Oryctolagus cuniculus: one gene and its partner. The protein of the gene in region 1 interacts with the protein of each later gene in a biochemical or structural test. Links are inferred from orthologs where the notes say so. Each region holds a gene or a part of one and is shown on either strand. Other genes may lie near its edges.

Region 1 (4,242 bases):
ACATAGGAGGGTCTCCGTAAAGGCTAATTTCCTTCCCTTTCCTGTGACGATGCCAAATTTAGACAACATCCGTCGGCAGGCAGAGTGGCCCGTAACTCCTACGCTCAGGGATCCCTCAGCTGAGGCCTCCAGGCTGAGCTGCTACTGCAGTAGCCAGTCACTGCTGCTCAGAGCAGGGTGGCACCTTTCCCGGCTCGCTCGGAGGGCTCTGACTCAAATGTTCTTCACCCACTGGTCTCAGGGGAAGAACACACTCCCAGGAATGGTTCTGACACAACTCGCTCTTCTACACACGTCCTCTGTGTTCACTAAGAGGAAGCGACGTGTGTGTGTGAGTGTGAGTGTGACTGTGTGTGTGTGTGTGGTATGTTGTCCAACGGGCTCTGACATTTTTCAACGAGGCGATGGGAGGTGGAATTTCCATCCAGTGGCGGGCGAATGGACGGGCCCAGGCCTGCTGGGTTTTAGACCTTTTTCACCCGCAACGCTGGGTTGCTGGCAATTCTCTGATTGGGACGGCCCTCTGCAGACTGGCTGGCAGACCAGGCACCTCTCCCAACCTGCCTTTTGTTTATAGCTGGCCACAACTCACCTGGTATTAGGACCACTGGCCAGAGACAGTGGTCAAGGCAAAGTGGGCAACTGGCCCACGTCCCTCCACAGAGATGCCTCCGAGGGTGTGTCTGTAGTACTGGAATCCTGGAATCAGCTGAACAAATATTTGCCCCCAAAGAGAATCAAAGCAGGAGGGACCAGGAGAGGTCATCACACAAAACCCAACAGGAACTGTTTAATCATTTATCCCCCAGGGAGTTCATTTACAGAATGGCTTTTCAAGTCTATCAGCCTTAGCTCCAGGGAGCCTCCGGCCTCTACCACCCCCACCCCCACCCCCACCCCCACCCCCACCCCGTCGCCTACTGACTTGACCCCCTAGCCTTTTTCAAGAGCCTGCTGAGGAGATGAGCTGAAGTTGCAAAGAAACGGGAAACGAGCCAGGGGGTGGGGTTCCAGGAGAAACTCAGGAGGTTTGGCTCCACGGTAAAACCGAGTGCCGGCCACGCCCCGGCCCAGCCCACGACAATCACATTCCTGGCATTCCTGAGTCCAGGTGCGCGGCCCTTCCACCTCTGCTCCCTCAATGGATGACTTATTCCCCACAGCCTGTGGATTTTCTGCATTTTCTGAGGGAACAGAATGCCTGTGTTCCGCACCTCCCCTGGGCAGGGAGACCAGCAAGGAAACAGGACCAACCCCGCCTGCAGTGACCACTGGTGCAAAAGGTCCCTCCACCACCTCCTCGTGACTCAGGGACGGAGAGAGACACCTCCCTGTCTGGACTGGGAGCTCCCTGGCGTCCCTCACTCTGCTCACGCCACCTCCAAGGCTTCCAGGACTCTGCGAGACCAGGCGAGCTGGCCACGTTTCCCAGTGCAGGAAACTGAGGCTCAAGAAAGTAAAGAGCCTGTCCAAGGTCACACAGCTGGCCAAGAGAGAGGGCTGGCGCTCCCACTCACGTCCAAAGTCTGACACCAAATCTCAATGGCCCACAGAGCCCCACAGACTGACTTCTTGCCTTGCCAGCCGGCCAGTCAGAGGCAGAGCAGCTGGAGCTCCTCACCCCACCCCAGGCAGCGAGTGAGGTGCAAAGTCCTGGGGCTTAAAGCGTGACACAGCAAGAGCTCCACAAACAGGCCAACCGTGCAGAAAGTTGCAAGCTGTGTGCAGCACCAACTCAGGAGGTGCAGCACCAACACGAGTGGCACAGCCCACGCTGACCTAGAATCGGACAATTCCGAACCCACCAAGCCACTGGGGGGAACTCCTGCTTGGCCACATAAGAAAACTCTGAAATAAAGGGAAGGAAGCCCAGGTCAGGACGGCCAGTCCTGGAGAAGAAAGGACGCAGCGACTTGTGGGTCCCCGGCACGCCACCACCTGCTCCAGACATTCTGCTTGTCACCCTTTCAAAGCATGGAGAGCCACTGCTCCAGAGTGAGGGGGGCACTGGACCAACCCCCCACTCACAGATCAACACCTCAGCTATTCTGTGCTGAGAAACTGGAAAATAAGCATGGAAGATCAGGGTCATGAGGGTGCCCAGATGGAAAGAACCAGGTCTGGTGCTGAAATGGGGCCAGTGCCTCCAACAGTCATCTAACTAGCAGAAGCTGCAGGGAAAGGCTGCTGGGGGTCCTCTGACAGAGGCCAAAGCACAGGGACAAATGAGGGGTGTGGTTCTTACCCAGCCGCCGTTCTCCTGGATCCAGGGCTCCAGGTGATCATTCAGGTAAGTGGCCATCCACGCCGCGATCCGACTCACCAATACCTCCATCTCCTTGTCCACGCTTTCCACGCACAGTGCCCCGCCGAAGGAGAAAAAGGCCACAATGCGGCCCCAGTTCACCCCATCCCGGAAGAGTTCGTTCACTACTTGTTCAAAGCTCTGATATGCTGTCCCTGGGGTGATGTGGAGCTGGGATGTCAGGTCGCTGAATGCCCGCCGGTACCGCAGTTCAAACTCGTCGCCTGCCTCCCTCAGAGCCTGCTTCACTGCTGTCATGGGGATCACCTCCCGGGCATCCAAACTGCTGCTGTGGCCAGTGGCTCCGTTCACCGCGGGGCTGTCCGCCGGGTGCCAGGCTGGGTTGCCATTGATGGCACTGGGGGTCTCCATCTCTGGTCCAGTCCCTTCCGGGGCCTCAGTCCTGTTCTCTTCCACATCGCTAAACTGACTCCAGCTGTATCCTTTCTGCGAAAGCTTGTAGGAGAGAAAGTCAACCACCAGCTCCCGGTTGCTCTGAGACATTTTTATAATAGGGATGGGCTCAACCAGTCCATTGTCCAGAACACCTGCTCAGGGATTCTCTTCTGTGATCCAAAGCCAAAATAAGGCTCTGAAGGGAGAAAAAGAGCTTTAGGGAAAGAAAAAAAATTAGTATAAATGCCATTTCCCCCCGCAACATCCCCTTCCCCTTCCAGGTACCAAAACTCGTTTCTTTGTGGCTCCTATGAAGGTCTGGGTCTAGGTTCCACGAGACTTCAATGAAGTCAAATTGTAAGCACCACTGGGCTCTGAATCATCCCACTGGCCTCTTTTATCCCAGCCACCCCTTTTTCTCCGAAACGCTGTCCTCGGAAAGTCACCCCATGGGCAGTCCCCCCACCACCACCCGCCGCCCCCGCACCACCTACATTCAATTCCGTCTAAGCCGGCGACAGCAGGCAGGTGCACCCCCGTAAGATCTTTTGTATCATAGGTCGGGAGAGGAGGTGGCGGCAGGCCGGGATGCCGGTAACTCAGCCGGCTTCGCGGCGGCTGGCGAAACAAACAGCTCCGGCCGGAGGGATCATGCGACCCGGCAGGCTGGGCGCCCAGAAGGCGACACAGGAATTGCGACGCTCAGGAACCAGCCCGCTTGCTGGCTTGCTCCTCCATTGCCGGGATCCAGGGCCGCCGCTCCGCTCCGCTCCGCGCCCGCGGCCTCTAGCCACCCGGGAGCCCAGCCCCCTCGCTCTCGCACGCCCCTTGGCTCTCCGCCTCCTACTGGGAGCCAGGAGAACTCTCCCGGAGGTGGCTGCTGTAGGCTTAAGGTTTTTCTTTCTTTCTTTTTTTTTTTTTCCTCCTTCACTCCGGTCTATTTAAGTACCAGCCCTGGGGGAGGTTCCCGAAACCCTGAAGGGACTTCTCAATGGGGCTCAGGGTTTCGATGAGGGACGCGGGGAGGAGAAAGCTGCCTCCGATCTGCCATCTGACTCCGGGAAGGCCACCCCCGGGCCTTTCCGGGAAGCTGAAGGCCGGAGACCCCCAATAAACGCCGCTGATTTTCTTTGAATTCCCCAAAGGCCCTGAACGTGGCGGTGGGGGATTGCCAGGTCCTCCATTCCCCGCCCGGATACAATGGCCGCCGGCGCCCTGCACAAAGACGGGGTGAGGGGGAGGCGCTGGGCCTCTTCTCGGGTCGGGAAGAGGGGTCGAGGCCTGCTTGAGGCCCCCCACGGCTGAGACCACGTTTTCCTAGGGACAGGCCCAAGGCGGCTTCTGGGAGCCCCAAGAGGGCTCGGAGGCCGGGGGCTGAACCTCTCCGGAGCCCGGGGTGGGTGGGCTGCGGCCTTGAGGCTTCTCCCGCTCGCTAGGCCGGGTACCCGCCGAGCCACCGCCCCGTTGCTAGGCAACCACCCTCCCTCAGGGGCGCCCCCTAGACCTTTCTGGGAGGAGGGGTCTAGCCCCCGGCGGCCCTC
Region 2 (3,640 bases), on another chromosome or scaffold:
CAGAATTAGGGGGCAGGAGTGGGTTAACAGCTAGAGTCTTTTCTAGAGAATTCTCCAGGGAGTAGACAAAAAGTCTGGTTCTTTGTCAGAGAAAATTTTGGAAAACCAGCTCCTTGGGCCAGGAAGGCCTTACTGGCCGACCTCCTGCCGCTGCAAGGCAGCCGCAGGGAGCTGGCACCAGGAACGCAAGAGCCGGCATGGGTGAGGTGCAGGGCAGAGCTGGGGTGGCTCTGGCAGAGAGGACGGTGCCTGTCAGGAACTGACCTGATGGGGAGAAATAACGCCAAGCAGAGAAGTGCAGGACAGGGGTCTCCTCCTCCCGGGACTGTGTTCCAGTCCCACACCAGGACACGGCAGGCCAAGGGAGGCCTCCCACCTGCTCCTAAGCCCCCAGGGGCTCACCAAGGACTAGGGAGGGGAACGCTCCAGGAAACAGCTGCGGAGGGAGAGCGGGAGACTATGCGGGGGAAAGCTGCATGCACAGTCCTGCCGTTGAGCCCAGGAGACTCACAGCCACTGTGGGTCCCAGGACTGCAAGCCGGGAGCTGGGCTCAGGCGCACGCAGCTGCAGGCCTGCACAACCAGGGTGGAGTGAATGGGCAGGAAAGAGGCCAAGAGACTGAAACCAAGAATCAGAGTGAGTCCACACACAAGGGCTGAAGGGGAAACTCGAAGCCAAGTTTCCACAAAACAATCAAAGGAGGGAAGAGGGACTGCAGCTTGGGCCAGAAGAGGCGGCCAGGCTGCCTTATAATGTAAGTGTAGGGCCACCCTCCCTTCCTGATCACTGAGGGACCAGCCGGCCCACCAGGCGGGCGCAGTGAGGGCTAGCCCCAGGTTTCCCTCAGTGCTGCTCGGCAGCGAGCAGAACCACACAACCCCCTGGGCTTGCTCTCAGAAAATCCAAGGCCAATGCCTCTTCTCCCCCTCCTGGTGCTAGCAATGGTTTGGCTCCTAAATCAAACTTGTTACTCCCCTGTCACCTAAAATCCCCCATGCAACCTCAGGGTCTGCCTGGTGATGGTGAGTTATTTATACTCTTGATTTCCAGACACACACACACACACACAGAGTGCCCACTGGCCAGGAACACTGTCCCAGGGATGGGGAGTGCCTTCGTGTCCAGGTGGAGTGGTCCTGCCTCTGCAGTGCTTGTACCAGCAGGGATCCACCCTCAGGCTCTGATCCCTGCAGGGTAGCCTACGGAGAGCCAGCCGGGAAGGAAAGGGTTAAGTGCCTGGGGGCCGGACCCAGACAGTGCTGCAGCAGCGGCCCAGGGCAGCCTCCAGGCTGTGGCACGGAGGGCTCCTCCAGCACGAGCCTGCCAGCCGCCGCCTTTGTTGACCGACCCTGCCACATGCTCGGCTGACACGCGATGCTCCGCCCTGGCGGGGCTGGTGCCAGGCTGCCGGCCAAGCAGCCGGCGGCGGCAGAGCGCCCGGCCAAGCGGCCGGCCGCGGCTCTGGGGAGACTCTATCGGAGGTGCACTCTCCTGAGGCCCCAGCCCCAGGATCCCAGACAGACAGTGAGTGAGGAGCGGCCTCCCCAGCTGGGAAGTGTCAGGTTTCAACCGGTTCCGCCACCTTCCCCCGCTCAGGCCCCATCCCCTGGCCGGCTCACCCCATCCCCTTGCACCCCCAACAGCACCTGGCAAACCTCTCCTTAGGTCTGCGAGACACAGTCCCCCAGCGCTGGCCTTCAGGAGAGAGCCATCGCCTTCCCAGGGAGGGAATGGGCAGGCAACCAACTTGGAGACCAGAGAGAGATGAGGGCAGCAGTGCTCATCTGATCAGCCTAAACTGTCCGTGGGGATGATGACAGCCGAGGCTAACACTCTGCCACCATGCCCTTGAGGCCCAGCAGAGCCAGAGCTGCCGATAGGAGGACAGAGACAGGCGCTGGCTCCTAGGCCCCTCGCGCCCTACCCGCCCCCTAGAGCCCTGTGCCTACTTGCTGTAAATGAAGCCGGTGGAACTGGTCAGCAATGCACTGAAGCTTCCGAGCAATCTGGACCTCTGCTCGATGCTGCCACTGCCCTTCAGGGGGCTGCTCCCCCAGCGCGAAGTTTGCAGGGAAACTGGCAGGGAGAGGGAGCCGGTAGCCAGCATTGCCTGCAAAGAAAAAGGACCCAGCTCTAAGCGGTCTTCTCGCCTGCCCCGCCCTCCACGCCTGCCTCTCCTGGCCAAGCCTTGGGGCTGAGGGTAAACCCCAGTATGGGAAGGGAGAGGAGCCAGTTTGCCTCCACCAGGGAGCTCTGCCAAGCTCGGACAGCCTGCTTGCCTGCTGCCCAAGTGCATAGAAGCTGATGCTGGGGGAACAGAAGGGAGCAGTCACAGCCGTCCAATGGGCTCCCCATTCACCGTCAGGGCAGTGGCAAAGGGCAGACTGGGTGAACATGTAAACCTTCTGTCCGTATTTATCAACCTACACTTGACCACAATTTATTATTCTCAGAGTAGCAGGTTGAAGCTCTTCCCTGGAACAGCACTGCAGGCAGCTCTCCAGAGTTTCCCGGGCTGAGCACAGCCAGGGACAGAGAGAACTGTGAAAAATGTCTTCACTTTTTCAACGCAGTAGAGGAGAGCTGTAGAGGAGGCTTCTGACCCTGTGGGCAGTGGCACAAACTCCTGAGACCCAAACAGATCCAAGTTTCTCTCTGGAAGCGGCCTCGGAGGTGGCGGGGGGGGGGGGGGGGGGGGGGGCGGAGACCGCGAGGCCGGAGCTGCACCCTTACCGCATGCTGGCCTTAGTACCACCGCTAGGGGCGCCAGCCGGCCGCCTCCCCCGCCTCGCCCTCCTCCGCGCCCGCCCGCCGGCCGGCGTCATCCAGCTTCTGAGTGCCGCCAGAACTGCTTGGCAAGAATCGCCCTACGGGGCAGTTCCCTCTGGGAATAACTGCAGCGTCTCCGCAGCCTGGCCCGTCAGACACAGCGAGATAACCCCCAAACCTCCACCCTCCCGCGTAAGCTGCTGTGCTAAGAACAGGCTGCTCTTTTGCCGGAGGAGGGCATATTTCTCCCTAAAACAAATCATTCGAGCCCACAAATGAAGGGGTCTTGTCTGACTTTGCCTTGGACACAGCCCCTCTGCTGGCACGGAGCCCAGGCAGGCCCAACCTCTTTCTCCAGTTCCCCTTCCAGGCACAGAAAGTCCCAAGTGACCACTGGGGCCACTTTCTGCCTTCAGGAACCTTCCCTCCTGGAACCAGCTGGGTTTTCCCCTTCAGTGTCAACAGCGAGTCATGGATCCCACAGATTTCTTTGGGACAAAGTAAATCCCTACCAGGACACAAAAAGGTGGGGGTGGGGGTGGGGGTGGGGAGTGGTGCAGGATGTAAAAAGAGACACCTGGATCCAAGGGATCCTTCCAGGAAGGGACAGAAAGGACAGGGCCATTTGTCCAGGTGCGGGTAGCAAAAGGCAGGGACTTTAGCATCCAGCAGCACTCAGCAGCCCCTGCTGCTCAGTGGGACTTAGGGGAAGGAAATCACAAAGGCAGGCTTGGGCAGGGAAAGTCCCCTCTTTTCCCCCAACCTCTATAGGAGGAGTCCTGAGGCTAAGAGCACTTACCATAAAAGAGTCGCTGGGGTTCCTCGGTCACCCCACAAGGCAGCATGACCCCTTGGCTCGGGGAGGCGGGG

What was found.
Region 2: the proteins of BCL2L1 (region 1) and BMF interact in a test that uses a peptide from one of them, tested with the Homo sapiens proteins (2 studies listed by BioGRID). The link is inferred for Oryctolagus cuniculus from reciprocal best matches to the Homo sapiens genes BCL2L1 and BMF.

The regions. Positions count from the first base shown.
Region 1 is NC_091442.1:25,992,965-25,997,206, reverse strand, and holds the start of BCL2L1 (bcl-2-like protein 1), read right to left. Parts: upstream 2,810-4,242; coding exon 2,246-2,809; intron 1-2,245. UniProt on the Homo sapiens protein: Potent inhibitor of cell death. Inhibits activation of caspases. Appears to regulate cell death by blocking the voltage-dependent anion channel (VDAC) by binding to it and preventing the release of the caspase activator, CYC1, from the mitochondrial membrane.
Region 2 is NC_091443.1:63,241,748-63,245,387, forward strand, and holds part of BMF (bcl-2-modifying factor), read right to left. Parts: coding exon 3,570-3,640; intron 2,112-3,569; coding exon 1,951-2,111; intron 1-1,950. UniProt on the Homo sapiens protein: May play a role in apoptosis. Isoform 1 seems to be the main initiator.